Pelodiscus sinensis: one gene and its partners. The protein of the gene in region 1 purifies or fractionates together with the protein of each later gene. This does not show direct contact. Links are inferred from orthologs where the notes say so. Each region holds a gene or a part of one and is shown in the gene's direction. Other genes may lie near its edges. The genes, in order: UTRN, SNTB1, SNTB2 and DTNA.

What was found.
Region 2: the proteins of UTRN (region 1) and SNTB1 purify together in Homo sapiens (affinity purification with mass spectrometry; 3 studies listed by BioGRID and IntAct, with this or other methods). This does not show direct contact. The link is inferred for Pelodiscus sinensis from reciprocal best matches to the Homo sapiens genes UTRN and SNTB1.
Region 3: the proteins of UTRN (region 1) and SNTB2 purify together in Homo sapiens (affinity purification with mass spectrometry; 4 studies listed by BioGRID and IntAct, with this or other methods). This does not show direct contact. The link is inferred for Pelodiscus sinensis from reciprocal best matches to the Homo sapiens genes UTRN and SNTB2.
Region 4: the proteins of UTRN (region 1) and DTNA purify together in Homo sapiens (affinity purification with mass spectrometry; 3 studies listed by BioGRID and IntAct, with this or other methods). This does not show direct contact. The link is inferred for Pelodiscus sinensis from reciprocal best matches to the Homo sapiens genes UTRN and DTNA.

The regions. Positions count from the first base shown.
Region 1 is NC_134713.1:102,214,358-102,221,367, forward strand, and holds the start of UTRN (utrophin), read left to right. Parts: upstream 1-3,995; 5' UTR 3,996-4,170; coding exon 4,171-4,264; intron 4,265-7,010.
Region 2 is NC_134712.1:21,362,376-21,369,894, forward strand, and holds the start of SNTB1 (beta-1-syntrophin), read left to right. Parts: upstream 1-4,517; 5' UTR 4,518-4,985; coding exon 4,986-5,550; intron 5,551-7,519. UniProt on the Homo sapiens protein: Adapter protein that binds to and probably organizes the subcellular localization of a variety of membrane proteins. May link various receptors to the actin cytoskeleton and the dystrophin glycoprotein complex.
Region 3 is NC_134722.1:1,963,389-1,971,338, reverse strand, and holds the start of SNTB2 (beta-2-syntrophin), read left to right. Parts: upstream 1-4,950; 5' UTR 4,951-5,028; coding exon 5,029-5,470; intron 5,471-7,950. Other genes in the region: UTP4 (U3 small nucleolar RNA-associated protein 4 homolog), read left to right, coding at 1-15. UniProt on the Homo sapiens protein: Adapter protein that binds to and probably organizes the subcellular localization of a variety of membrane proteins. May link various receptors to the actin cytoskeleton and the dystrophin glycoprotein complex.
Region 4 is NC_134712.1:70,972,988-70,980,209, reverse strand, and holds the start of DTNA (dystrobrevin alpha), read left to right. Parts: upstream 1-4,202; 5' UTR 4,203-4,230; coding exon 4,231-4,484; intron 4,485-7,222. UniProt on the Homo sapiens protein: May be involved in the formation and stability of synapses as well as being involved in the clustering of nicotinic acetylcholine receptors.

The DNA.
Region 1 (7,010 bases):
GTTCCTCCGCTTTGCTGCTCTCGGGCTCCGTGGCTTTGCTCTGCTTTGCTCCCCGTCCCCCTGGTCTGCAGACCAGGGGGACGGGGAGCAAAGCAGAGCAAAGCCACGGAGCCCGAGAGCAGCAAGACAGCCACGGCGCGTCTGGGCTGTCCCGCTGCCCCCGTGCTCCGTGGCTTTGCTCCGGACACCTGTGGTACAGCAGCTGGGGCGCTGCCAGTTGGTCCTGTAGCACCGCTCTGGGCGCTACTGGACCAACCGGGCAGCACCCCAGCTGTTCTGCCCCAGGCGTCCTGATTCAGCCACTGCTGGTCAGATTCAGCAGTGGCTGAATCAGGACGCCTGGGGCAGAGCAGCTTGGGTGCTGCTGGGTTGGTCCAGTATCGCCGAGGAGCGGCGGCGCTACTGGACCAACCCAGCAGCACCCCAGCTGCTCTGCCCCAGGCGTCCCCAAGTCAGCTGCTGCTGAAACTGAGCAGTGGCTGACTACAGGAAGCCCCTGCCCCGGGCTTCCTGTAATCAGCCGCTGATCAGTTTCAGCAGCAGCTGACTTGGGGATGCCTGGGGTTCTTAAGTTGAATCTGTATGTAAGTCAGAACTGGCGTCCAGATTCAGCCTCTGTTGAAACTGATCAGTTTCAGCAGCGGCTGAATCTGGACGCCAGTTCCGACTTACATACAGATTCAACTTAAGAACAAACCTACAGTCCCTATCTTGTACGTAACCCGGGGACTGCCTGTATGTGTCTTCTATTTCAAAAGGCCCAAAATATGGCTTCTCTTAATGTCATTAGTCAGGAATACTTTTCAAAAAGACTGAACGGAAGTGTGAAGATTCTTAAAGTTAATATTTGTAATCTATAATTGCCTCTTATTTTGCAAAATGAGTCAGTCAGTTGACTAACTGTTAATGCACAGTTATATCGATGCTGTTATTAATGAAACTGAGTCAGTCAGAGTAAGCATGCTTTTATTAGAGCTCCATGGGTTTTAAAAATGTTTGATACCATCTTCTCTTTTCTTTGGGAAGAAATTGATCTGGAAATTGAATCTGGAAAGGAGTGTTGGTATTTGTGTGCCTTCAAAGCCGTGCTGCCCACCCTTATTACCCAGGAGGGCCACGTACACCTAAGAACAACATTGTATGGACTACAAAGATTCTACCTATTTTAATAAGATTTAAAGTCACCTGTAGTGATTTATATTTTAAGTTCAGCTTGTTTTGATGGAATTAAGATTGACTATTCTGTACATAGAAATAACCTATTTAGTGTGTATACGTACGTGTGTGTGCGTGTGTGTGTGTTAGTATTTAATGTGCCACAGTACTCCTTGTTTTTGCAGATACAGAGTAACATTACCATCCCTCTGAGAATAGTCAGTTTATTCACTTGTGGAAACTAAAATGATGTAAACATGACAATCCTAATATAACAACTGTTAGGCTGCAGACCTTTTGTTTTGCTCTGGACAAAGTATGACCTGTGGGCTCTAGGTTGGGCACCTTTGCCTTAGAATAAGAGGATGCAGTTTTGACAGGTTGTGCCCTTTTAATATGCTACTTGCTGTACTGAAATACCACTGAGCCTGCTTGTTGTGCCAGCAGGAGCACCCTTTTACCCTGTCCTGCTGAGATTGGCTGTTGAGCCTCCTGTAGCGCGTCATATCCAATTGGTCCATATTGCTCATTTCAGATGCAGGAGTGATGCAGGCATACAAATTGGATAATCACGTAAAGTAAATCATAGTCTTTCTAATGATGTATTACACTTTTCTCATGTATCTCAGTTATGTCACATCCATATCATAAGCATATTTCCATTAAGAATATGGAGTGCGTCACAACAGTACGCTTTTTTAAAACAACACTTCTTTTTTGGTCTCCCTTCTGTTTCCTGTGAGCCAAGCTCGTAGAAGTAGACTCTATTGTCTAAGCGTGGAGTGGAGGTATTCTAAAGGAAAATAATCCTCCTCAAATGTGCCTCGACTATATTCCTATCCAAATTATTTATTAAAGGTGGTCTGCTTTGGGCTGGGCTGAGTCTGGCCTTGTTTGAACTAGAGATGTGAAAGTTTATTTAACAGGTGATGTTTACTTGTTCCAGTTAACCAGTGGGAGCTGAAACAGCCCCTTGCCCACCATGGCCCTCCACTTCTTATACCCTCACTCTACTGTAGTTCCAGCTGGTCTCTGGCCTTTTTTAATCTTGTGGGTATGATAAGAAAACTAGGCAGGCAGCCAGTGACTGTTGGGCTATAATAGAGCCAGCGGTATGTACAAAATTTGATTACTGCTGTCAACACCAGAATGAATAAAAGAGAGTGCATACCCGAGACAGATAGTTGCTAAATAAACGGTCTATTGAATTCAGCAGTAGTAGGAATGAGACCATTTTATTAGAATGAATGAAGTAATTTGTAGCTAGAATGCATGTGTTGAACACTTAGGATTTTGTTTTTAAACAATCTCCTTGCTCTAGTATTAACACTATTTCCCCAAAACTCAGCATGTCCATCCCTTGGTTACCAGCTCTTGCAGTTGATGTGTGTTTCCCGTCCAGTATGTTTTATTTTGGCAGAAGTCTTGCTTTTTTTTTTTTTTTTTTTAATTTCAAATTATTTTAATGCTTTATTGTTCCTGTAACCTACTGATTCTATAAGTGAGTCCTTTGCAAATCACATCTATTATGATTTAGTTTTACGTCAGTGAGTGTCTTCTTACTTGGATTTCAATTTAGGGACTGAATTTGAAAAACATTTAATTGTCCATAGCTTGATGCATAGGAGCTGATTGGTCCTACTCCTGTGTGTAATTGCTAGCATAGCAGTAATGGACCATGCATTTTAAGTAGTTTTTCTTCTAATAAAATTGATCAAGATGAGAGATTTTTTTTTTTTTTTTTTTATGGCAAACAATATATTTTGGCAAAATCTTTTGGGAGAGGCTAATCAATCTTATGTATTAATAAATAAAACTACTACATTGCTGTGTTGGCATCATTCCTAAAATATGCTTAGATGCAAGTACCTAGAACAGTGGTATCGAACATGCTAGCCACTGGTGACTATTTGGCCAGTTGAACGTGGCGAGTTCAGAACTGGTTGGACACTACTGACCTAGAGTAAGTTTCATGGCATCTGTTTTGCATCACTTTATCTTTTCTGTACAGAACTCTCCCTTTGGCTTATATTATACTCTTTTGTAATAGATTTAAATCTCATATTAGATCACTTGTTACCTTAAAAATATATTTCATAATGATGCAACTTTTAATTAGCTAATTAAAGCATTCAGAGCTGTGTTTTGCTTGTTGATTTCAGAAAAGGGGGACAGAGTTGTGGGCCATATACTTCTTGAAGGGATACTCTGGGATTTGTACCCTGGGTGTGTACAAATACGATTTTTAAACCTATTGTTACGGTGCTAATATTACTCCACATTATTAAAAACACACAGTACTATTCTTGCGTATGTCTGTCTTGGCATTTGTACATCTTGAAGATTTCAACTTTTGTTTACACCTATATTATAGAGCTGATTTTTCACATCTGTTTCATTATAGATCTTTAATTAAAAGTACTGGAAGACGTATGCCTAAATTCCTCGCACTGCTTTGAAATAACTGGTACATCTGGTACTTGCTTTATAGGAATGGTGAAGTTTAGATAATCTGCTATAAAGAATTAAGCAAAAGGTTATGTCAGTGATAGGCATTATTTTATTATCATTACAGCTATTTGGAAATTAAATGCAAGAGAATATTTGTAGAGCCTTTAAAGAATGTTACATGAAATATCTGCTGCCTCAAACAGCATAGGAGAATTGTCATGGAGTCTTTGCTATTTTCATTATGTAGAATTTTGACTTGCTTCTGCTTTGAAAGCAGAAAGGCAAAGTTTATACAAACACTGTATTGATGATAGATTGTTACGCGGGGGGGGGGCACCTTTTAATTAGTTCAAGTTGTTTGCATACATACTTGAATGTAAAAGCTTGTGTGTTTCCTGAGTGGTTCACATTGTGGTTGAGATTTGAGTCCAGTTCTTTCATAGGAAAAAAAATGATCTTCTCTACCGCCCCCCTAAAAATCCCAGCATGCAGTTCTCATGCTGTTATTAGTGTGCACTTCCTCTGCATTTTCACTTTTCCTGTTTTTAAACACTGAGCTTGATCATGAGCAGTCAGACAACCAAAAAAGTTCTGTGGAAAAAGTATAAGTTTGATTTTCTTTGGCATACAGATATTCCGGCTCGTTCTCTTCCACCAGGTGAGAGCATATTTCAGTCTCAAATATATTTTACAAGAGTAGAGATACATTTACTTTTTTTGTATCTTTTGCTAGCCATTTTTTAAAATTAACACAGTTTTAAGTTTGCGTAGTCTAGTACCATAAAGGCATGGCAGGAAACAGTGCAAGGGAAGGATAGTTTACAATTTGCTATTTGTGGCATAGCTTCACTGCAAGTACTATATGAATTGTGGCTGGTTAACATTTGCTTGTTAGGCCATTCAGTCATATAACACCTTTCACCAATGATTTTTTTTTAATCTGAAGTGTTAGCTTACTTGGTGAAGAAAGTTATTAAAATTGTTTCTATTTTTTCACTGACTGGTGTCCCTGAAAATACATTTTAAAGTATGAAAAATGAATATAGACAAGATCGGAAAGACTTGCTGACATTTGCTTTTAGCTGAGAGAAACACTAGATCTTTTTGATTTGATTATCTAATTGAACATCTATAATAAAGTTCTGCTTACTGTGATTTGAGTATTAGATATACAGTCTTCCTTTTAAGATCTCAGCACAGTTGCTGACATGATTTTTTTTTTTTTTAAAACCAAAGTTGAAAAAAGACTCCTTTACTGTTTTGAGACACATGAAGGAGATTTTCTGTAACAGAAAATAACTCAGATGGGATTTTGGGAGACAGTAAACTGGGGGTACGTTCTTTTTCTGTTTGAAACCTCTTTAGGAATTTTAAAATTCCAGACCTGTGAAATATGGGACCAGGACTAAAAAAAACTAGACCAGGAGAGCAGGAACAGATTACTCCCATATTTGTGAATTCCAGTTTCTTATATAGTACTTGGACTATGGAAGAGCATTGGCTCTGAGACCATTATTGCCTCGTGATGATTACCTCTTAATGTAATTTGGCGCACATCCATTGACGTCAAATCCGCCAAATAGCAGAGAGTTTGACTCATTTACTTTGTGTGGACTCAATTTTTTGCTGCTGGATTGTGAAGTTTTACGTAAACCAATGTTCCTGTGCTATTTTAGAAGAACAGCCCTCAATTTCAAGTAGAATATAGCACTGGGATGAGATTCTGATTATGCTTACTTTTACATAAATTTCCCTGGTCTGGCAAATTCCTTTGTTTGGGTTCAGTTAGGTCCCAAGTGTTGCAGACCCAGGAGGTCCAACCTATAGGAGTTGGTTTTGGACATCATAATACACTGCAGGGAGAGGAAGGATTCCTTTTTGGTATGGAGATTGTATTTTAGACTGGGAACTCTCACAAAATTAGCATTTGGGGTTCAGGAGTGGGTGAGGCTTCCAACTAGGGGCATGGGTTCTGTGGTAGGGCCGAAAATCAGGCGTTCAGAGTGCAGGAGGGGCTCTTGGCTAGGGCAGGGGCCAAGGAAGTGGAAGAGAGAGCAAGCTGTGACTGGGGGTGCAGGCTTTGGGGTGGGAATGAGAGATTTGAAGTGTAGTAGGGTGCTCTGCATAGGGGTCAGAGGGTGAGAGAGGGATCAGGCCTCGGGCAGGGGTTTGGGGCATGAGGGCAGAGCTTAAGGGGTACAGGCTATGGGCGGCACTCACCTCACACAGATCCTGGAAGCAGCGCCATGCTTCCAGGAGGCACGTGGAGTAGGGATGTCAAATCTCGGTTAATTGAGTAGTCGATTAACCTTATGAATTCTTACCGGTTAGTCAATTCTTTAGTCCCCGGGCAACCCCTGTCTGGGGGAGAGGAGTCTGAACTGGACTGGGCATGAGCCGTAACTGAGCCAGGCTGCCTGATTGGCTCCTAACACACTTTAAATGCAGAGTCGCAGGGAGGTAGGGCTGGGACTGAGCCAGGCTGCTGGCCAGTCTACTAAAAAATTTACTGGCAAGGGGTGGAGGAGAAATGCATATAGTCTACAGCAGTGTTTCTCAACTTTTTTTTATTTAAATAAAGTACCCCCTTAAAAAAAAAAATTCCCCCCCTTAAAAAAAAAATTACCCCCAGTACCTACAGTTTTCAGACACACAACATTTTTTTTCTACCATTGCAACACATTTGTTTGAACAACTTAATCGTAGCCGGGCGGGCAATGAAACTTTGGGGTATAAAAAGTACAAAAATAATAAAGCGCTGTAAAACTTAAAATAAAAATTCAGTTTTCTCCAAATTTCAGTTGTTGATGTACCCCCCAGACTTCTCTCGAGTACCTCTAAGGGTACGCATACCACTGGTTGTGAAACGCTGGTCTATAGCATTAATCTACAACCTTTTGCTGATCGGTTAATTGACTACGATATTGTATCCGTAGTGCGGAGACATAGCAAGCGTGTAGTGGCCTGGTCTCCGATTGTGCTCTCAGCTTCTTGTGGACTATAGTTTGCTAACCCCTGCTCTACAGGTTTGTCTAACAATATTCTACTGACTTTGGAGAGATGGGATGCACTTTTGAATCTTACTAAAGTGGACGAGAAATACAAATAAAATGGCAAACAGAGGTAGGTCATTTCTAAAGGTCAAAGCTCTTGATTAGGGGGGTATGAAAGGTTAACAGGTGGGGGCTGGAGCAACAGGCAGAGGCTGGGCTGGAGCGTATCCCTCCTCCCCCATTGCATTTAACTGGTTAACCAATTAAATGGGATTTACATCTCTGTTCTCGATCTGCCAGAGCTAGAAAAAACACGGTTGATCAGAAGGAACATTTTGAACACTGCCTTTCTACATCTTGAATGAAAAGCTGTTTTTGAAGACTCTTTCGTATGTGCTTTTTTTCTAGAGT
Region 2 (7,519 bases), on another chromosome or scaffold:
ACAAAATTAAGCTGGCCTAATTTACATCAGCATACAGCCACCAAGGTACATCGCTTGTGCATATCTTTACTTTGCTTCTGTATCAGCAACAGTGCCGGCCCGAGCCATTCTTGCGCCCCGGGCAGCGGGCACGTGGCGCATGTGTGGCCCTGACCATGGGCACGCAGCGCCCCTTACAACTGCAATCAGGCGCCCCCTATAGGTTGGCGCCCTGGGCAGCTGCCCGGCTAGCCCCCCCTTTTAATCCAGCTCTGATCGGCAATGTGCGTCCTCACCAGGAAGGCATATATTGATTGTCCTGGCAGGGTAGGGCATTGTGGGACATTTCCTGCAAGCCAAAAATAATTGATGTAAGCAATGCAGCATCTAAATGACACTACGTTGACCTAATTATATCAACCTTACATCTACACTGCTCCTGGAGGTGGAATTATTGAGTCAGCATTACAGGGCAGTTACATCAGTGGGAGGAAAATTTAAGAGTAGACACTTGCATAGTTAAGTCAATATTCACTTACTCTGTAGTATAGACCAAATCTTAGCCTCAGCCCACAGTCAGCTTCTCCTATGGGTTTGCCCTATGGCCCATTGCTTTGGACAGTGCCTTCTATAGTTTTCAGCTCTCTCGCTGCATAAATGGAGTTAGTTGCTCCTTCCATGAAGCCCAAAAGAAGAGTGCTTAGCATATCTATCAGTGTTCACCACTTTGGGGAATTATATAGTTTCAGTTTCAAAAGCCAGCTGAAGACAAAAGCTGATTGCTTCCCATTGCTTAAAGAAGACTTTCCCCCAGGATGGGAACCCTTTTTTGGCATTCTCCATTCCCATGGAAAAATACCAGGTTCAAAATGTATTTCAGTACCAGGTGGTATGGTCACATGTTTTTCTAGGACCAATCATCGTTTGGGCTTACAGGCCAAACAAGGCTATTCACAGGTTATGAAGTTGATTACTGAATCATTAGGTTTCCAGAGTATCAGTGATGGCTGCCTTTAACACATTTAGAACTATAAACAGATCCACACTTTGTATTTTTAACGTCACACACAAGAATGATACATGCACCACAATAGGATATATACATTCAGCAGATTGTAACATGAAAATTATTAGGTTACATGAGGTATTTTGCCTTAAGCATTTTCGAGGTATGCATATTTATACTCACAAGTCAATTCTCATAAAGCATGAGCAGGGGCATCATAAAATGATTGCTGGAGAATTTCAGCTAAAAAGTTAAGTTTCCAGCTCTCATGGCTGCAAAGAAAGCTTGTAATTGTCATGAGTGCACCCTAATGACTCAAAAGCCACAGGGCCAAGAGCAGAAGCTTGCACAGTTGGCAAGTTTTTGAACTGGAAGCTAAACATGAAATAACAGACTCATGCTGTAAGGGGCAGACAGGCATAACTGGTTCTGTCTCACAAGCTACTGTGCACTCTAGGCCCAGGCCAGTTGAAAGCCACTGGCTTAGGACTCTACAGGCACATCTACACAGCACCATTATTTTGGAATAATGTCAAGCTGGAGGCCTTCTTACTCTGATTCCTGTAACCCTCATTTTACAAGGAGTACGGAAGTCGAAAGAAGTGTGTTCTTGCTTCGACTTCCTGCTGTGTATACAGCACCAAAAGCTGAATTAAGCTATATTGACTTCAGCTATGCAATTGATGTAGCTGAAGTTGCATATCTCAATTCGATTTTTGCCGTGCTGTGTAGACATGTCGTACTGTGCTTCTTCAGCAGATACAGGGATTCAGAGCAGAGATTCTCTGACAGGAAACACTTCCTATGTGCACCTTGTCATGCAGAGTAACAGTTGGGAACATTCCTTCTAATTTGCAATAAGTGACGTTTCACTGCCCTGTACATTAGTGCAACTGTATTTCAATTTCCTCATCCCTTAAAAAGCATTTCTATTGTGCCGCTTTCTTGTGTCTATACAGCTTAGTCTATGAAAAAATAAGCTTGCATTTCAGCTATCCTGTCCTAACCAACATTGCTCCATCTACTTCCCTAGTAGTTGTTTCAACCCCTTATTATGTCTTGTAATGCTAGACTGAAAGCTCTTTGGGGGAGAGGCTGTGGCTCGCTAGGAGTCTGTCTACACAGAAAAGAAAAAATCTGCAGCTGGCCCATATCAGGGCTGTTTTGCTGCTGTGTAAACTTTGGGGATTGGTCTGGAGCCTGGTCTCTGGACTCTCCCACCTCAAATAGTTTGGATTTAAATGCAACTGGTGTCCAGAGCAGAACTCTGATAAATATTTTCAAACCCGTTGGGCTGAAGCCCTGGGTCCCAGCGTGCCCTGTGGGGCTACAGTCCTGAGCCTCAGCACCTCTGACAGGGCAAAAGCCCCAGCTCCCAGCACTGCCTATTGGGCCGAAGTCTCAAGCTTTGGTGTGCACGAAACTGAAGCCCTGAATTCTGTTGCCTCCCTTGGGGCTCGTTTCCTGTCCATGGAAGGCAACAGGGTGTGGGAGGGTGTCGATGAGGCGACTGCTGCTGACTCCTCAGCCACGCTTTCTGGCAACATCCATGCTGCACAGAGGTGGCCACCATCATCTGCATGGGTGGCAGGTGAACCCCAGGCTCAGGGAGACTTGCCCCTGCCTGTTCTGCCCAAGGTCCCACACCTTCTTTCTGAAGCCTAGCAGCCCCCCTCCCAATGCTGGCAGCCCCCCCCCAAGACCTGGGCCACTGTCCCTCACACCCAGTGAAATGGGTTGCCAGTGTAGCTCCCCACTCCAACCCCAGAGCACCAGGCAGGTGAGTAGAAGGCCATGCTCTTAAGTGTTGGATAGTGGGAGCATGCTCCACCCCCCAACATGCCAAGTGGGCAGGTGGTGCGAGGCTTTCCCCAGTCCAGTGCACAGGCCAGCCTTCATTAATCCCAACCTGGGCCCCCAGCCATAGGGGGAAAAGTTCCCCACAGCTAGGGCTGGATTAAGACCTTTAGAGACCCTAAGCACTGAAAAGATTATGGTGCCTCCCCATATGTAATTCAAAAGAAATACAATACTATACCGTACAATAAAATTTTATTTTTTGAAATGACACAAAACTTACATGTATGTTGAAATTAAAATGTCCACTTCCATACACAATAGGGAAAGTGAATCAAGTCTGTCCTGACACATTGTTGTTCTCTGAGGGTTTTTTATTCTTTTCAGCTGAGAAAAAGAGCGTTCTGTGGAGTTCTGATTTTTCCCATGAGGACTACTTCGATGCTTTTTTTGAAATATCAACTTTAAAAAAAAATCTCATTTTTTTTGGTGCCCCTGCTTTGCTGGTGCCTAAACAAGTGCTTTGTCTGACTATTGGGTAATCCAGCTCTCCCCACAGCAGTGAGAAGTGACAAGGGGCCTGGGTGCAGAACATGTCCAGGGCCTCACAAGGCTATTTGGGGAGGCTCCACCTTTCCCTGCCTTCAGTACCTACCACATATAATCAGATGGTAAAAGAAGTAGCTGTGTCTTGTTCCCCCCCCTTTATATTGTCCCTTTCCCAGTATCAGGAGGTGTGAATTGTGTATTGCTGTTACCACTCAAGAAAGAGATATTGGAGTCTCTGTGGATAGTTCTCTGAAAACCTCCACTCGGTATGCAGCCGAAGTAAACACTCCCCCCCCCCCCAAAAAAACCTAGCAAATATTAGGAACCATCAGGAAAGGTATAGATAATAAGAAAATATATGATACCACTGTATAAATACCTGGTATTCCCACACCTGGAATGCTGTTTAAAAAAAGATAGAATTGGAAAAGTACAGAGAGGCAACAAACATGATTAGGGGAATGAAGCAACTTCCCTATGATGAGAGAGTAAAAAGACAGGGATGGTTCAGCTTTGAAAAGAGACAATTACATGGATATAGGATTGAGGGAGAAAATTGTGAATGGTGTGGAGAAAGTAAATAAGGCAGCGCTGTTGATTCCTTCATTCAAGAACCAATAGTCACACAATGAATTTAACAGACAACAAGTTTAAAACAGACAAAAGAAAGTTGTTCTTCACACAATATAAAGTCACTCTGTGGAACTTGTTGCCAGGGGGATGCTGCAAAAGCTCAGAGTATAAATGCATTAAGAAACGTATTAAATAAATCCATGAAGGACAGCTCCATCGACAGCAGATGCAACCCCATGCTCTGGGTGTCCCTCTGCTGCCAGAAGCCGGGACTGGATAAGAGGGGATAGATGACTCCATAATTACCCTGTTCTGCACATTTCCTCTTTAGCATCTTGCAAAATTTGCTACCAACAGACGAGCTACGGCGCCAAATGACCCCAGATCTGGTCTGACCCAGTGCGACCATTATGTTCATGTTCTGTCCCAGGCTATGCTCTGTTAGTGGTTAGTAACACTGGCTCAGCTGGAGTGAATGCAAAGGGAAAGCGAGGCAAAGTGGAGAGACGGGAAGAGGGGAAGGGGCTTCCCAGACCTGGGGCGGTGAGTGGGGAGACTGCCCCCAGGAAGACATGGAAAGTAACTCGCTGGGAGAATGGGGCTGAGCGCGCCGCTGGGCAGACCGGAGCTAGCGCTGGGTCAGGGAAGAGACGCGTCTGCGCGTGCTGCCGCGGGGCGAGGAGGCCAGGGTTCGCTGGGGTGCGGAGCGGACGAGCTGCCCCCCAGGCGCTCCCTGCTGTGCGCGTTTCTCTCCTCGGGGCCGGGAGGGGGGAGCAGCGGGCGCTGACGGGCCGGGCAGCAGGTGGGCGAGCGCCCTGCCCGGCTTGGGGCGCGCCCGGGGCTGCGCTGCCAGGGCCCCCCCCCTCCACGTGCCGCCCCGCAGCAGGTGAGCGGAGGTGGCGCCTGCGAGGCAGCCGCCTGGCCGGGCGCTGGGCGAGCCGCGGGCTTTGCTCCGCCCCCGGCCGGCGGGCGCGGCTGGCGGCGCTCGGGGCGCTCCCGGGGCGCAGCCCTGTCCTGTGCGCGGCTGGCGGGCTGGCGGCCGGGCGGTGCAATCACATGGTGCGCTAAGAATGCTCCAAAGATGGCGGGAGCGGCAGCGGCGGCCGGCGGCCGGGCGCAGCAGCGGAGCGGCTGGCTGGAAGTCCTGGTGCGGGACCGCTGGCACAAAGTCCTGGCCAACTTGGGCGAGGATGCGCTGGTGCTGAGCTGCGAGGAGCGCGCCGACGGCGCAGCCCACAACGGCGTCGGGGCCAGCGGCAACGGGGTGCCCTGCCGGGGGGCGGCCGCCGCCAGCCCCGAGCCGCCCGGCGGCGGCGGCAGCCCCAAGGCGGGGGGTGGCCCCGGGGTGCGCACCGCCTTCACCGAGCTCCCCGAGCAAGTGCCCGACGCCATCTCCAACAAGAAGCGGTGCGTGAAGGTGCTGAAGCAGGAGCTGGGCGGGCTGGGCATCAGCATCAAGGGGGGCAAGGAGAACAAGATGCCCATCCTCATCAGCAAGATCTTCAAGGGGCTGGCGGCCGACCAGACCCAGGCCCTCTACGTGGGAGATGCCATCCTGGCCGTGAACGGGACGGACCTGCGGGACGCCACCCACGACGAGGCGGTGCAGGCGCTCAAGCGGGCGGGCAAGGAGGTGCTGCTGGAAGGTAAGGGGTTAAAAGGAGCCCGGCGGCTGTCCCTCTGCCCCAGGCCTTGCACACTGGGCAGTGGGTGATGAGCAGGGGGAAAGACACAGGACTCCTGTGTGTCCCAACCACTCCCCTGCCCCTGTTAAAAACTCTCAGGGGGTAGTTTTGTGAGTCTGCAACTTTAAAAAACAAGTGATCCTGTAGCACCTGAGAGACTAACAAATATATCGAGAGAGTATCATGAGCTTTGAGACGCTGGCAGGGCAGGGTGGATCCTGCTGTCCATGGGACAGCAGTAGGTAAGGGGTTTTCACCCCTGCAAAGTTGGGCCTTCTTGCTACCTGTTCTCTGGCGTGTTTATTGAGGGGGCAGAGGGAGTATATCCTCCCTAGAGTGCCCAGATCACAAACGCCAGGGCTGTGCGTGTCTGTGACTTGGAAGTAAAGAGTTAATTTGGTTTTACAAGCAGCGCTAAGATCCTTAGGCGTCCTGCTCAACTCGGAGCTTGTGAGAGGGGACAGCTTCCCCAAACAGATCGGATGGTAGGTTAGCGGAGAGATCCCCGCCTATGGCTAGGGAAAGCTAGGGGTTAATTTGACTAAAGAAACTCCGGGAACCCCAGCGCCAAGCTAAGGGCTTTGCAAGTTTCACTATGTGTATGTTAAAAAAAATAAAAAAAGGGAGGAAGAGGAAAGCCAGGTCACAAACTACAGTACAATGCAAACCTGAACGGGACATAAAGAAACTACCTGCACTTCCCTGGGCACAAGGTTGAGAGATTTTAAACTCTTGTCAAGGGGGAGGGAAAAAAAGTGACAGAACTGCCTGAACTACTGAGATCGTCCACATTTTGACATTTGGTAGTGTGTTAAGTGACAATTATCTGCAGGATCTCCAGCCTGGGGCTTTGCAGCCCTTTCTGCAAAGAGACATAGTTAGCAAACCCTTCCTAAACAGCTCCGATAATCCAAGACAGTGTTTGTCATGTTGTGTTTGACTAACAAAGGCACAAAAAAAGCAGACTTCAAATCCAGAAGGCAGAGAGAGAGTTTGACTATTACTTTTGCTCTGCAAAAAGGCAAGAGAAACAAGCAGATCACATCACATAGGGCTATGGCAACTCTGTGATTTGAAATGACTGAAATTTACACATACACACCCTTCTTAGTTCATCCCAGGAGAGAAGGGGAACAGATGTGATAGAAATTGGCAAATATCTCATTGAAACGTTTGTAGGGGAAAAAACCACAGACTGCGGTGAGATGATCTTTTAGAAGCCACCTTAAAAATGGAATGCAAAAGAAGCGAGTCTTTGAGGGTTTTGGCACAGACTGTATGAAAAAAGAGCAAAAAAGAAGAGAGAATAAGTTAAAGACCGGAAAGAAAGTTCCATTGATCTCAAGATTTTTGGGGGGAGGGTAGTTGAAGAGTCTTTTCCAGGCGAGTTAATTTAGTTGCTAGACCTGAGAAAAGGATCAGCAGAAACAAATATGCCTATTGCGTGTTAAACAGAAAATGCCCTTGGTATGCATGTGTGTGTTTGATAAAGTGCCTATTTGTACATAAGTTCATTTAACCAGCAGTTCTTGACCTTTGAGTCATTAACATTTGTGGAGCGAGGTGGTGAACCTGCTGCTATTCCATGTCTCCTATCTTAGTTTGAAATGGATTTGTTCAGTCATTTGCAGCCTGTTCGTCCTCTGGTTCTACTAAACAACAGCACAGTTTCTGATTTGCCTCTCTTGAGTCACTGAAAAATGGTAACACTTCTTGGAGGAGCTGTGGGAGCCAGTGCTAAGAATTATGGGATGCATTTGTGGATCAGTTGTAAATACCTGAATATAGGCTTGCGATATGGAAAGGGGATGAGAATCCTTGGTTTAAAACCTTATAGCGTCTGTGGGGTGAAACACAAGGCATTTCAGATTACTCTGGCTGTGAAAGTGAGGAGCTGATCAACTTTGCATCTTATAACAAGGGGACCTTG
Region 3 (7,950 bases), on another chromosome or scaffold:
AAGTTTGGCACCTAAGCGCCACAGACACTCTGCACTATTGCTGCTGGGGACGCCGGTAGTAATAAACCTCGGCTGTGCTGTGGACTCTCCCTCTGCCTTCCTACAGCCCCGACGGCTCTAGGGCTGGGTCCCAGAGAAGGGATGTGGGATGGGCGCCTGCCCCTTGGGGCTTCTCGCCGCCGCAGAGGCTGGCCTGGCCCCAGGGCCCGTTCCTGGAGGGTTACAGCAACGTGGCCCCTTCTCGCTCAGGGCAGGCCCCAGGCTTGCAGTCAGTACGGCCTTCGTTGCGCCGGATGCTGGCGGCTCTCCCTGCCGCGCGGCTGGTCCTGAGGCCGGACAGGAACGCTTCTCGCCCCCATCGCTCGCGGGGCCTGGGAGCCCGGCTCTGTGCGGATGTCACGGGAGAGGCAATCCCTGTGCCAAAGCCCTGCAGCCTAACTGGGGGATGGAACCCCCTTTGACACCTCAGCCCGTGTTCGACCTGGCCACCCGCCCCTCGGTGGCTTGCTGCTGGGCTGCCCGCTGGGAGAATGGGGGGGGGGGCTGCCCGCTGGGAGAATGGGGGGGGGGCTGCCCGTTGGCTTCTGCCAGATGTGGTCAGTTCTCACCCAGATTCATACCAACAAACAGCCACTTTGGCCACTGCCAAAACCCTGCGTCCAGCCAGATTTCATGCTCCGCTCTTTGTGTGTAAACAGCAACTAGCTCGAGGGGGATCGGTAGCCGGCCACACCGGATTTCTTTTAGCTGGTACCTGTGTACAGTAGGCCTGCACCAGGGTGAGTTGAAACTAGAAGGGTGAGTTGAAACTTGCCAGCTGTCTACACCGGCTGCTTGAATTTCCACAAGAACACTGACTTCCTACTGTCTGAAATCAGTGCTTCTTGCGGAAATACTATGCTGCTTCCGTTCGGGCAAAAGCCCTCTTGCGCAAATCATTTGCTCAAGAGGGCCACTGTAGACAGCACAGGACTGTTTTCCGCAAAAAAGCCCCAATGGCGAAAATGGCGATCGGGGCTTTTTTGCGCAAAACCGCGTCTAGATTGGCACGGACACTTTTCCGCAAAAAGTGCTTGTGCGGAAAAGCATCCGTGCCAATCTAGACGCTCTTTTCTGCAAATGCTTTTAACGGAAAACTTTTCCGTTCAAAGCATTTGCGGAAAATCATGCCAATCGAGACGTAGCCGAAATGTTAAATCCCGTTTAATTAGTTAACCGGTTAAACATAATGTTTGACCGGTTAAGCAATTGATCGGGGGCGGGGGAAAGCATGTCCAGCCCTGGTGCCTCCCCTCGCCCACTGGAGCCAGGCTGGACCAGCCCCTACTGGTTAAGCATGACCAGTAAGCAGCACCTGGTATGGGTAATGTTTACCAGTTAACCTTTCCTGCCCCTAGTTGAAAGGCAGTTCCTGGTGCATGTTACTGGTTTGGTGGCCCTTTTACAGAAAGCAGATGCTTGATTTCACTGCTTATGCCATGATTCAAATCCCGAAGGTGCCCAGCCAGGCATGGGGACCCAGCTTCAAAACGTAGAACCTGCATGTGCAAAGGGCCCAGCTGGCCGCTTGCGTGTGCAGTCCCAGCGTGCCCCATGCGTGGGCATGCGTCTAAATCCGAGCCCAAGCATCGCTGCAGGCAGTTACAGGAACACCGAGGGGCTTGTCTAAGCCAAGCTGAGCGAACCGTTCCAGCCCGGCTTGTGAGTGTGTGGAGTAGATGTTGGTGCTGCGCACGCAGGCAGTGACTTGTGTGCATGCTGTAGCCACCTGCTTTCACCGCCTGCCTGCTGCTGGCCTTTCCTGACAGCCCCTGCAGCCTGTACCCCCATGACCCTTCTCCTCCAGGCCCCCTTTCTCTTCCCGCTCCATGTTGGATGCCCTTGTTCTACTCCCACAGTTCTGAATCTGCGTTTGCCGCGTGCGCTGGGCCTTACAGTGTGGTGTGAGCACCCCGCTTCCATGACCACGCGGCCTGCCCCCCTCTGCCATCAGTTAGCCCCACTTGCTTCTTGCTGCCTTCCTGTGCCGGCTCCAGAAGATACTCCTGTGGACAAGCAGTGGTCGGGAGCAGTCTGAGAGCTGCTGCTCTGTGTTTTCTTAGCCTTTACCAGTGATACTTTGAACTGTGGTGCACAACCAGGCTTTCTGGCTCCGAGGACCCTGCAGCTTGCTTTGCAGGCCCCTCTAACGCTGCGCCAGCAGGGGGCACCGTTCCCTTAGCTGTTAGGTGGTTACGGCTCATGGAAACAGGGAGACTCAGTTGATCTCCCCATAAGATTTACTGGGCCCTGCCTTAGCGCAGGAACTGGCCTAGGTGACCATTCCAGGGCCCTCCCAGCCCTGTGTTTGTCATTCGAAGCTGCTGCAAAATTGATTGTGAATGTTTCTGAACTGAAACCACAGGCTTGAAAGCGGTGCAGGGCTGCGGGGGCGGCTCCCTCTAGGCTGTCAGCTTGTTACAGCTTGGTCCGTGTTAGCAGGAAAGGAAGTTAATTCACAAAACGTGAAGAACGGGGGTGTGCTCAGACTTGCAAAACCTCAATCACTGAGCTGGGGTTTTCCTGCTGATCCCTGGAGGGAGACCACTGGCTGTAGCTGGGGAGTGATCTGTGGGCTGCATGACTGCTCCCCCCATGGGGATACTTCTCCAGTCTGCATCTATGTGGTTGCGCCCATCACGTTCGGCTATTCTGCCATTTCCATTCAGCTCCTGTTCAGAGGCTCGTTTTGGCTGTTGTAATCCCCCTCCTGCTGAAATCCTGTGGCATGTCACCTTCTAACAAAGCACCGGGCTGTCCCTTATACTTGTGATTCCTATGCAGCCCTCTTGGTACTGCTGTCACAAAGGCCAACCCCTGGATCAAGTTACAGCATCATCGCCTGGAGGAGAAGGCTGAGAGCTCTCAATCAGAACTAATTCACCAGGTCGCGGTGAATAGCAACTCAGCAGATTTCAGCAGCTCCGGTGAAATTAAGCAACATTTCAGTTGCTCTGCAGTTCCCATTTCAAGGCAAAAGCTCACGTGCGGGGAGAGCATTTATACTAAATGGTGAATCAGATCAGGCCTCTGTCCCATCCTGCTTGGGAGCAGAAAACCCCAGTGCAAAGAATTGTTCTGGAGTGTAGGTTGTTCTATGGAGAAGAGCAGCCCCCTTCCCCCCCCATCCTTGTGCTGTGGGCTGCTACCCCTTAGCATCATTTATACATCTGAGCAGCAGGAAACCTCCCATTACCAAAGTGCAGTTGGTGTTTTTTGATCACAGCGATTGTGTTAACAATTAGATTCCCCCTGTGCTGCTGGTAGTTCTGGAATAGGCAACCTCATTCTTAGGGGGGAGGGATAACTGGTTTGAATGTTGGCCTGCTAAACCCAGCATTGTGAGCTCAATCCTTGAGGAAGCCATTTAGCGATCTGGGGCAAAATCTGTCAGGGATGGTATTTGGTCCTGCTGTGAAGGCAGGGGACTGGACTTGATGACCTTTCAGGGTCCCATCCAGTTCTAGGAAATAGGCATCTCCATGCATTTCACTTTTACATTCTTAGAACTTGTCTCTGGTCATTCCAAAGCCCTTGTCAAACTACCTAGTTACATATGATACCTGGTCTTATAGTCTTCCCAAATCCCAGTAAGTTACATTGCACTGATTGTGGCTGTTTGTTGTGTATTATATTTAGTAGAGGTCTGACGTGCAACACACTGGCTTGTGCACATAAAACTTGCAGCTGCTGCTGTTTGAGCAGTAGACAGAGCTAGAACACGGGGGTGGGGGGAAATGTAGTTTAATCTTGATATGTGACTTCTTGAACTGAGTTTTTCCTAATATTTTAGCCAATTGATTTCTAAAGCAAAAATGTCTGTCCTGCCTCACGCTGCTCTAATTCACAATTCCCTTTCATTTTCATGAATGAGAAAGGGGTGTCAACTTCGTGTGGTTATTGCTGCCTGAACCACCTGCCCCCAACCCTGTGCTCACAGGGTGCTAGGCAAAGGGCTGGCAGGCGTTGGTTGTACTTCCCCTCTCAGTAGGTGTTGTGGGGAGTCTGAGATCATTGGTGGGTACATCTGCTTGAGTTAAAAATAGGGCTCTGAGGGATCAGTAGCCAAGGCCCAGCCTCAGGCAGGAATTCAGCAAGCTCCGGGCTGGTGGGGCTGTACTAATCTCAAGCGGGCCTGTAACCGAATTTCTGCCTTAAGATTGGATGTGCTGCCGCCCGCTGTCTAGCCCTGGCTCTGCTCCCCTTGTTCAGGGCTGCAGCGGGGAACGGGGAGATCAGGCTACCTTTTTCCTGGAGCAAGAAAGTGAAGCAAAGGCAGGGGATCTGGAAAGCTGGGTGTTGGTGTTCCCCACGGGGCTTTGCCTTCACTAGTCCTGCAGCAGGGGAGGACCTAGGGATGTACTCGCCTCCCTCCTTTCCCTGTTATTAATACAGTTTAGCCTTGGATGGAACTGTTCCCAAACCATGCCCCAGCTTTGGGCTTTTTCTACACTGCCACCCGCCACAGTGCCCCAAGGACAATAGTATTTTTCAGACAGACCATCCCCGGCTCTGGACCCAGTCGGGTTTGGTTCTTACTGCCTTGGCTGGGGCTGGATTGGCTGGTTGAGGGCACAGCTGGCGGGGCTGAGCTAGGGCACCGGAGGGGCCCCTGGTGCTAGGGTGCTGCTGGCCCAAGCTCTGTGCAGACCCCTTTGGACGGAGTGTGTGTGTGTGTGGGGGGGGGGGGGGTGTCTATGGCTCTCAACCCCCTTGGCCTTGGGAAAGAGGGCGGAGCCGCAGAAGCCCCGCCCACTCCGTGGGAGGAGCTCGAGGCGTAAGCCCCGCCCCTCGCCGCCCGTCCCGGGGGGGGTGCGTCCCTGCGCTGCGGCGGGGGCGGGGCTCCGCCCCGAGGCCCCGCCCCTCTGGCCGCCGGCCGCCAATCGCGCGCGGGACGGAGGCCGGGCGGGCGCACTCGCCCGCGGCCGGGGCGGCGCCCGCCTCTGCTGAGCGGGCCGGCGCGCGGCGGGCGGGCGGGCGGTTGGCGGCATGGCGGTGTGGACGCGCGCCGCCAAGGCGGGGCTGCTGGAGCTGCTGCTGCGGGAGCGCTGGGTGCGGGTGGCGGCCGAGCTGAGCGGCGAGGCGCTGAGCCTCACCTCGGAGCCGCCGCCGCCCGAGCCCCCCAACGGGCTGCCCAACGGCGCCGGCAGCCCCGAGCCGCCCGCGGCCGAGCCGGCGCCGCCGGGCGTGCGGCGGGTGCGGGTGGTGAAGGCCGAGGCGGGCGGGCTGGGCATCAGCATCAAGGGCGGGCGCGAGAACCGCATGCCCGTGCTCATCTCCCGCATCTTCCCGGGGCTGGCGGCCGAGCGCTGCGGCGCGCTGCGCCTGGGGGACGCCATCCTCTCGGTCAACGGCACCGACCTGCGCGACGCCACCCACGACCAGGCCGTGCAGGCGCTCAAGCGCGCCGGCCGCGAGGTGCTGCTGGAAGGTACCGCGGGGGGGCGTGTCTCTCGGGGCCCCCCCGCGACCCGGCCCCCCCCCAGCCCCGGACACCGGCTCCCCGTGGGCGGGAGGGGCGTGTCTCTCAGGGCCCCCCCCCCCCCGAGCCCCGGACACCGGCTCCCCGTGGGCGGGAGGGGCGTGTCTCTCAGGGCCCCCCCGCGACCCGGCCCCTCCCCCCAGCCCCGGACACCGGCTCCCCGCGAGCGGGGGAGGCGTGTCTCTCAGGGCCCCCCCCCCCCCCCCGAGCCCTGGACACCAGCTCCCCGCGGGCGGGGGAGGCGTGTCTCTCAGGGCCCCCCCCCCCGAGCCCTGGACACCAGCTCCCCGCGGGCGGGGGAGGCGTGTCTCTCAGGGCCCCCCCCCCCCGAGCCCTGGACACCAGCTCCCCGCGGGCGGGGGAGGCGTGTCTCTCAGGGCCCCCCCCCCCGAGCCCTGGACACCAGCTCCCCGCGGGCGGGGGAGGCGTGTCTCTCAGGGCCCCCCGCGCGACCCGGGCTCCCCCCCTCCGAGCCCCGGACACTGGCTCCCCGCGGGCGGCCCCGCACCACGGGGGTGTCCCCGTGCGGGCGCCGAGAGCCGGGCGCAGAGAGCTTGAGAAAGGAGAGTGATAGAGACGCAGCCGGGTTAGGCTGGTCGGGCTGAACAGCACAGGACTAGGCAGGTTTATTAGGTGACGAGCTCGCCTGGGCCAGACCCACTGCCTCAGATCAAATAGTGGAAGAAAACTGGCACGATATGCCACTGTTTGAGCTTTCGTGGGCCAGACCCACTTTCTCACATCATCGCCTAATAAACCATCTTGTTCATCTTTAAAGTGCTGCATGGTCCTGGTTTTGAGAGCGGAGAGTGGCCCTCCTCTTCCAGTCTGTCCTCTCTGAGCAGCCGGCGGGCGTGATGGGCATTAACTCAACTCTCTGAGCTGCCCGCTGTTAGAGGGGACATGTCCTGACTCAAGCCCGCATCCTGCGTGAGAACTTGTCCCCTCGCGCTTGAAGATCTGTATTGACGTGTGCTTGTGTTCTCACAGTAGTGGGTGGGAGTCCATGCCTAGATTTGTCTGTTGTTTTGGGAAAATTCATGACCTGTAACTCGGGGCCACAAGCTGCCAGTGAAGATGTAATCTGGCTCCTCCCTTCCTTTCTTAGGGGAATCGTTCACTGCCTGGCTCACAGGCTAGCAGCAACATCTGCTGGCTGCAAAAAGCCCTCACCCATGGTGCAATTCTGATTCTCAGGTCTCTTGTTGTGGCTTTTCCTCCAGTAGAGATGCTGCTGCTGCTGCTCTGCAGTTGCTGAGTGAGGCAACATGTGCAATTGAGCAGATAAGGTAGTATTTGTGGTTAGAAGCCCCATAGCTGTAACTGAGAATGCGGTTGTACGGTCTTGTCCACTGGTGCTTGAGCAGTACCATTTGTGATCGATGTGCTCCAATGCTACTAAAACAGACTGAATCTAAATGCTGGGCTGCAAAGCAACAGGCCAAAGTTTTCTGTTTACGTGGAGGTGGAAGCTCTTTAAAACAGTCTTCGCTTAAAATAGAGGCCCATGTGGATTAGGGATGTAAGCCGAGTAGTCAACTACCCGATAAATTTAGGCTTATCGGGTAGTCATGGTGCTACTTGCTTCCCCTTCCCCTCTGTATCAGAGGCAGCAAGGGAGGAAGAAGCATGAGCCTGACTCCTACTACATTTAAACTGCAGACCCACGGGGGGAGGGTACTGAGCACCCCCCCATCGACTAATTAAGTAGTCGATGGAAATTCTATCAACTTATCAATTAGATAATTAACCGCTACTTAACATCCCTGGATATGTTGGTTTTGTGGGAATAATCTTTTCCCTAAAGCAGAATCATTGCTGGTCTAAAATGTTCATGAAGAAAAGCAAGTTGCAGTATTAAGTGATGGATTTGTATTTGTGTCTGTAAAGTAACTGGCATCAAACTGCTGATTGCTTGAATGGGAGAGGCGGGCATTCTGCAAAGAGCATTGAGCTCTGGGGCTCACGACTTTGGACTGTTGGTTGGAAGGAATGGTCTGAAAGAAGCTGGGATAGCTTCACGGGAAAGTACTTGAACTCAGCTATGAACTTTCTGGCTCTGACAATGCTTATTTGTCAACTTGTTTTATGAAAATTCTTGCAAAGTCTATTCATGCTGTTGCAAAGATGGTGCTGAGAGAGGTGCTGGAGATTGGAGGCCTATTGAGAGGGTGTTAAGAGGAATTTAGCTATAGAAATGTGAAATACGTAGCAAACTTTCTGGGTGTCTGGCTGATGAGTCTTGCCCACATGCTCAGGGTTTAGCTGATCGCCATATTTGGGGTCGGGAAGGAATTTTCCTCCAGGGTAGATTGGCAGAGACCCTGGAGGTTTTTTGCCTTCCTCTGTAGCATGGGGCACAGATCACAGCTGGAGGATTCTCTGCATCTTGGGGCCTTCAAAGTATTTGAAGGCTTCAATATCTGAGA
Region 4 (7,222 bases), on another chromosome or scaffold:
ACACAAGAAATCCACTTTCTTGACACTACAGTACAATTAAATGATGGACAAATTTCCACCACCATATACCAGAAACTAACCAACCACTGCACTTACCTTCATGCCTCTAGCTTCCATCCCAGACACATTTCTCAATTTATTGTATACAGCCAAGCCCTAAGATACAACCGGATTTGCTCCAGTTCCACAGACAGAGACAAAAACCTTCAGGATCTATATAGAGAATTCTTAAAACTGAAATACCCACCTAGAGAAGGGAAAAAACAGATTGACAGAGCCAAAAAAGTACCCAGACATGAACTCCTTCAAGATAGGCCCAAAAGAGAAAACAACAGAATTCCACTTGTCATCACCTACAGTCCACAACTTAAACCCCTCCAACACATTATCAAAAATCTACAACTTATCCTGGAAAATGACCCTTCACTCTCAGTGGTCTTGGGGGAAAGGCCTATTCTGGCTTAATGACAACCCCCTAACCTGAAACAAATTCTTTCCGGTAACTATGCAACACAGCTACATCATAAGCATCCAGGAACCCACCCTTGCAATCAGCCCCGGTGCCAGCTCTGCCCATATATCTACACAAGTGTTTTCGTCACTGGACCCAACCACATCAGCCACCAAATCAGTAGCTCGTTTAACTGCACATTCACTAATGCAGCGTTTCCTGAACTATGGGCGGCGGCCCAGTACCAGGCCGCGGGACAAATATACTGGGCCTCAGCGTGGCTGCTGGGAGGGGAGTGGGGCGGGATGGGCTGGAAGGAGGTGTGTGTGTGGGGGGGGAATGGGCCACCAGGAAGCAAGATTAGGGGCAGCAGGGGTGTCTGGTGGAGATTGGGGAGGAGAGGGCAGCCGGCCGGCGGAAGCATAGTTGGGGGCAGCAGGGCTGTCCGGCGGAGATCGGGGCAGGCAGGTAGTGGAAGCAGGGCTGGCCGGGGGGACTGGCTGGGGGAGATTGGGAGGAGGAGGACTGGAGAACCAGCCACTGGAAGCAGGGCTGGATGGGGGCAGTGGGACTGACCTGGGGAGATCGGGAGGAGAAGCAGGGAGTGGGGCCAGTGAATCGGCCGGCGGGAAGCAGGACTAACCTGGGCACATGAGTGAGTCCTGCCCTGGGGATTCCATTCCCCTCCCCATACCCTCCCTCGAGTAGTTGCGAACTGCCTGGCCGGTAGACACACTCATGCAGTGTGAGCACATTTACCAGCCAGGCAGTTCGCAGCTACGACTGATACACCTAATAATAATAATAAAACGTACCTAATTAGAAAATACCAGACATTTTATGTCTGGTATTTTCTCAATTTGTTTCCTGGATAGAACCCTCAAATACCGGACTGTCTGGTACAAAACTGGACACCTGGCAACCCTACCCCTCCTTGCACACTCCCTCCTAGCCAGATACCCTTCCCCCAATCTGCTCCTGCACCCGCCTCCTGGAGTGCCCATGCGGCGCTGAATCCCCCAAGACCTGGCCCAAGCTGGGTGGAGGATGCATCCGGGTGAAACACTGAAAATTTATTCATTTTTAATTCTTTTTTTATATGCGTTTATATTTTTGGGCTGCAAAAAACAGTACTGAAAAAAACGGGTTCCAACTAAAGTAATAAGTTTGGGAAACCCTGGTCTAGCCAGCTTTCTATCCATCTTACAGTCCATTTATCCCATCCATATTCCCTTAACATGCTGGCAAGAATACTGTGGGTGACTGTATCAAAAGCTTTGCTAAAGCTGGCACTGGGGGCTTTGGGAGGACCAGAAACAACTTATTTGAATATTAATCATTTGCTTAATGAATATGCAAATATGCAAATGAATGTTACCAGTCCTCCAAATGCTCATGAATGGATTTACTGGTCCCCTTGTCAAAAAGTTTGGGAACCCCTGCACTAATGTGAGCTATGCCATCAAATGCCAGCAATGCCCCCACTGCAATGTGTATCGGCCTACTGGACAGTCTGTACGGGAAAGAATTAATGGACACAAATCAGATATCTGAAAGGCAATACACAAAAGGCTGTTGGAGAACACTTTAATCTTCCTGGACACTCATTAATGGATCTGCAAAAGTAACAATGAAGGAGCTAATGGTTCTTGATGTCTGTTTAGAATCTGGGATTGGTTATTTTCCTTTCCAAGAGCTAACTAATGGTTCTTATCAGCCTCTTGTAACTATTTAGTCGTTAAGATGCTACTAGACTGTTTGTTGTTTTTTAAGTTTTTCCTGTTACACATTCACTCTGCTATCCCCTGAAGCTTATCTACTCACTGTCTTTTTTTTCTTCCCCTTCAATTTTTTTCCTTCTCTCCCCCGCCTTCCCTCCTTCCCTTATTTATTTTTGGATCTGGACTTCCAACACACTTTAGTCATCTGAAGAAGTGGGTTGTGCCCATGAAAGCTCAAGATACCATACATGTTTTGTTAGTCTTTAAAGTGCTACTAGATTATTTGTTTTTCAAGTGTTTCCTGTTATAGACTAACTCGGCTACCCCTCTGAAGCGATATGCATTAGATTTGCCATAAAGATAGCAGTTTCTAATTTTCAGGTAATGTGTGAAAGAGAAAGATGTGCATCTGAAAACCCTATCCTGCTAAGCGCTGTATTAAGTCCATGCTGAATGGGTCATGAACAGTTGGACAAGCCATATTTGGGGTGGGGAAGGAAATCACATTACTTTGCATTGACAATCAGGGTACTTATAGTGTACTGGAGGCTGCAATCCTACACTTACACACGTGCTTACTTTTGCTCATATGAGTAGTGCCATTGACTTAAATGGAGCTGCTCATATGAACAAAGCTAAGCACATGCATAACTCCCTACTGGAGCAGGGTCTAAATCTGTATGTAGCTCTGTAAGTTTAGGTTGGGAAATTGGACACTTTGGGCCTATGCATACTGTGTTTTAATGCACTAAGGCTTACATCATCTCTTCCCACTATAGCTCAAATAATAAGGCTATATGAGGATTGAGTGTGGAGATCTTAGGAGGTAAAAAATGTGATTCAAGACATATTAGCACTCAGGAAAGAAAATACATTAAATCTTCAAGATTCTAGTACTTTAAGTGGCTTCCCTCTCATGAGAAAAATCCTGTTCATGCAGGTTTGTAATAGGATTATTCAAATTTTTATTAACTAGTAATGAAAATAGCCTCTCTGTCAATTTAAACATACACAGAGATATTACACATCACCAGAACAGAACTGGTTTATAGATTGCAGAAAAATAATTGGACGGAACTGACAAAGTGCTTCATTAGCAAAACAATTATGAATGTTTATACAAGGTGGCACATTTTTGACATTAACAGAAAACCCATTACTAAATAGAGCGAGAGAGAGAGAGCAGGCGAGCACATGCAAATTTGAAAACAAACACTAAAACAGGCAAAAACTCAAATAGCTGACAGTCACTAAAAAGAGGGGCTCTCTATTCTCTAGCTTTACAGATTCGGCTGTACAAGGCCGGGTGCAAGGCTCTTGGAAGAAAACGCGTCTCTCTCGGGAGGGAATGTGCAGAGGGAAACAGGGTGACGTCACTGCCCGGCTAACAATGAAGCACAATAGAGGGGAACAACTCCGGTTCCAGCACCGGGGATGTTCATTACGTGACGCTGTGACATTGGATGTCACTCTAGATTTGGGTCTGGGATACGGACAGTCCAACCCCCCCCCCCCCAGGATGTGCAGCCCCCTCCTGATCTGCTCCTCCATCACCTCCCCCCCACCCTCTGCTCTGCCCCTCCACCCCCGCCAAGCGGCGCCCCATCACCCTTCCAGCTGATCAGCCCCTTCCACCCGCCCAGCGGCCCCCGAACGCGAGAGCGCCCCGCCGATGCGCGTCTGCCCCGCTCTGCTCCTGCCTCCTCTCCGGCCGCTTGGCCCGCTCCTTGCAACCCTCGATTTGCTCCCCACCCCCAAATCTGCGGCTCTTCCTCGCCTCAGCCCCTCCTGCTCCTCCATCCCCCAATACGTCATCCCTCCTGCTCAGCCCCCTCCCCTCCGGCCCCTTCCTGCGCTCCGCTCCCCACCCGGCTCCCCCGCGCATGGCCAGGGCGCGTCCTGGGGAAAGCGCAGCGAGGCTCCAGGCGCAGGGCCGGGCAGCGGCTTCAGGGGCCCACTGGGCATGTGCAGTGGGGGCGCCGGCGGGGGCTGGAGCATGTGCAGAAGCGCGCTGGGTCCCGTGTGAGGCAGGGCAGCTTCTGCTCTGACACCTGCAGCATGTGCCAGGAGCTGCAGCCGCATCAGCAGCCAGCGCGCGGTGCAGCCTCTCGGCTCGCAGCGGGAAGCGGCAGCAGCAGCTCCCTCTCTCTGCCTGCCTCCTGCTTTGCACTCTATTTCAGTGGGTGCATGGTGACCTTACAGAGTGTGCATTACCTCACAGGTAAATATCAGCTGATCCGCTGTGACAGCAGCAGCAGCAGCAACAGCAGCAGGAGCAGGAGCAAGCAGCAGCCCACAGAGCCTTTCTGGAGGTAGCAATTCATTCATTCCTTCACTCATCTTGTCCCACTTCTCCCCCTCCCCACCCCTTTTTCCTTGCAAAAGCCAAAAGGCTTACAGAGGATGCTGAAGCCTCCATTAAGGACGGTTCCCAGCACTGCAAAGAGCCTGAAGAGTGTTTAATACTGGAAGGAGTGGGGGGGGGGGGGGGAGTGAAAATTTCTGAGCCAGAGGCGGCTGCTAGTGTTGCAATGCACTGCGGTGTCAATGGAAATGGCTCAGGGGAAGGAGGTGCTGGCAGAGAGAGGGTTATTCAGCCTGTTGCCCATTTAGATATAAATATATTTTGGTGTGACTCATATTTGCATTGGTTCATCGCTGTGGATTCATTTTTCCAAGCTGAGTTGTCCTGCTACAGAGAGAGCTGGAGGGATGCTGATACTGAATTCTTGAGGGGGTAAGCAGGGGAAGAGGAAGGGATAGAGAACTTGGTGTCTGCTATTAAGGAGGTCCCGGTGGGAGAGCTTTTGGATAAAGCTTCCTGGTTATTGGCATCATGCATTTCATTACAAAACATCACCAATTTATACACTCATGTGCAGAAAGGGAGTGTGTATGTGTGTTTATAGGTTGGAAGCTCAAGGAATTTTTTGTAGGCCTAAGGACATATGTTATATGACTTTTACTGTACTTCAGCTTTTATGTGGGGTTGTTTTTTTCAATAGTGAAGGTGCACGTTGCCTGCCCCTGGGCTTTAAATATACTGGCTGTTCCATTGATGACCCTGGCAGTTGTAATATGTTTGTATATGTGTGTACATACTGGGCGATTGGAAGAGGGAGAGATGCATCTAGCTCTGATTAAACACCGGCTCTGTATGTGTTTTTCCCTAGAAATTTAACTGAGTGGAGTCTATAATTTATACTAAATGTATCAGATCACTTTTGCAGGTGTGCTATGAAGGATTATCACCAACTAATCAAAAACTGGCTAATAAATGTTTGAAATATACTTGATAATGCATTATACAGTATTTGTATTTGTAATTGCCTGTCCACTTGCTGATTCACAAACTTTCATTTGCAATGAATATCCTAGTCACTGTAGAATAGTTAGTTCGTACTATAATAGCATTTATACCATAGAATAATTATTACCTAAAAATTAAATTAAGCTTTTAGAGGTACTGTGGTCAAATGAACATAAATAATGTGCAGGCTTTGATATGAGAGGTTCATGAAATAGAAAGTGTTAAAGCAATATCATAAGCTTATTATTTCTAGACTTTAAATCCTGTCAAGCTCAAAGTTGTGTAACTTACTGTTCTCTTTTGAACACTTCACTGCCATTTTCCCTGATTATTCTGGTATTGGAGATGGTTATATAATGATCACAAAAAAGGAGAATGTTTTCAACTTTAACTCCATCATTGCCGTAGAATCCAACAGTATTTTTCTAAGCTTTCAGTTGAATGTCAGCATATATCACATATGTACTACCAACAGCACTGGGCAAACACATTATGGGGATTTGTCACACTTTTGGCATTCAGCACACTGTTCACAAAAGAAGTGATAAAAAGTGTAAAAAAATAGTGCTGTGAAAAAATGGTGAGCTGTTGACAGAGGATAGGTTAGAAGTGTGTGTTCAAATTCAACTTCATAACTTGTGCTTTGTGCCCCTCCAGGATAACTACTGCCAGCTCTTAGGGGCTTGATCCTGCTCCCATTGCAAAATTCTTATATTTACCCAATATCAGTGTTGAATGTATTGGTAGTGTTTACTGGTTTACCACATGAACAAAATTTACAATCATGGTTATTATTATGATTACAATTAAATATAAAAATTAATACTTCATATATTTTAAAAAGTAATGGATAAAGTAAAAAATTCTGTACTGACCTGTTAGAGATTTAGTTACAACCAAAATAAGGAGCTACACTCATCAAGAGTAGGAATAAATACAAAATTATGCATCAGTAATTATGCCTCAGTCACTTCCTGAGTACATAAATTAAGAATGAGACACTGTGTATGTGGTCCTCTGAATTGTGTCTCAGTGTAATCTGTTCCAAGTATAGTTTTTGTGTGTTATAATATATATTGACAGTAATCAACATCAAGTTACACATACTCCTGATTCTGCTCTCATTTATAATAGTATCAGACCTGACCCTGGTAGATGTGCTGGTGATATCCATATGTAATGTTATTGATTTCACAACCCAAAAACTGCTGAAAAATAGGAGAGAGGTTTGGAGAATCTGCTAGATAGCAAAATGATTTTTTAGAAGAAAAACAAGGGTGATATTTTTTGTTTTTGAGGTCTTTGTTCTTCCCAACTACTTTCCTCCGACTTTGTTATGCATTGTAAAAGCCTGGAGAGTGATTTTTCCCCTTGCACCAATTTTGCAAGTGTAAAATTCTGTTGACTTTAGTATGTAAAGGTCAGCACCCATATATCTGTTTCCAGAATCAGAGCCTTAATCAGCTCTTAGTGCAATGAAGTCAAAGGAAATACACTGTATAAAATTGGTGTGCGTGGGGAATTGGCTTCCTAGTCTTTTACACTTGTGCAGTTGAAAGTCAGAGGGAATTAGTTGTGAAGAACAAAGGCTACAAACACACCATGTCCTTCTTTAGAAGTTTACTGAATTGCCATCTAACAGCTGTCCAGAAAGTTTGTTTTATGTTCAGCAGTTTTCTGGACTACAGTCTTGGAGTTAACATTGTTCTGGAACAACTTATTTAAACTGATTAAGCACCA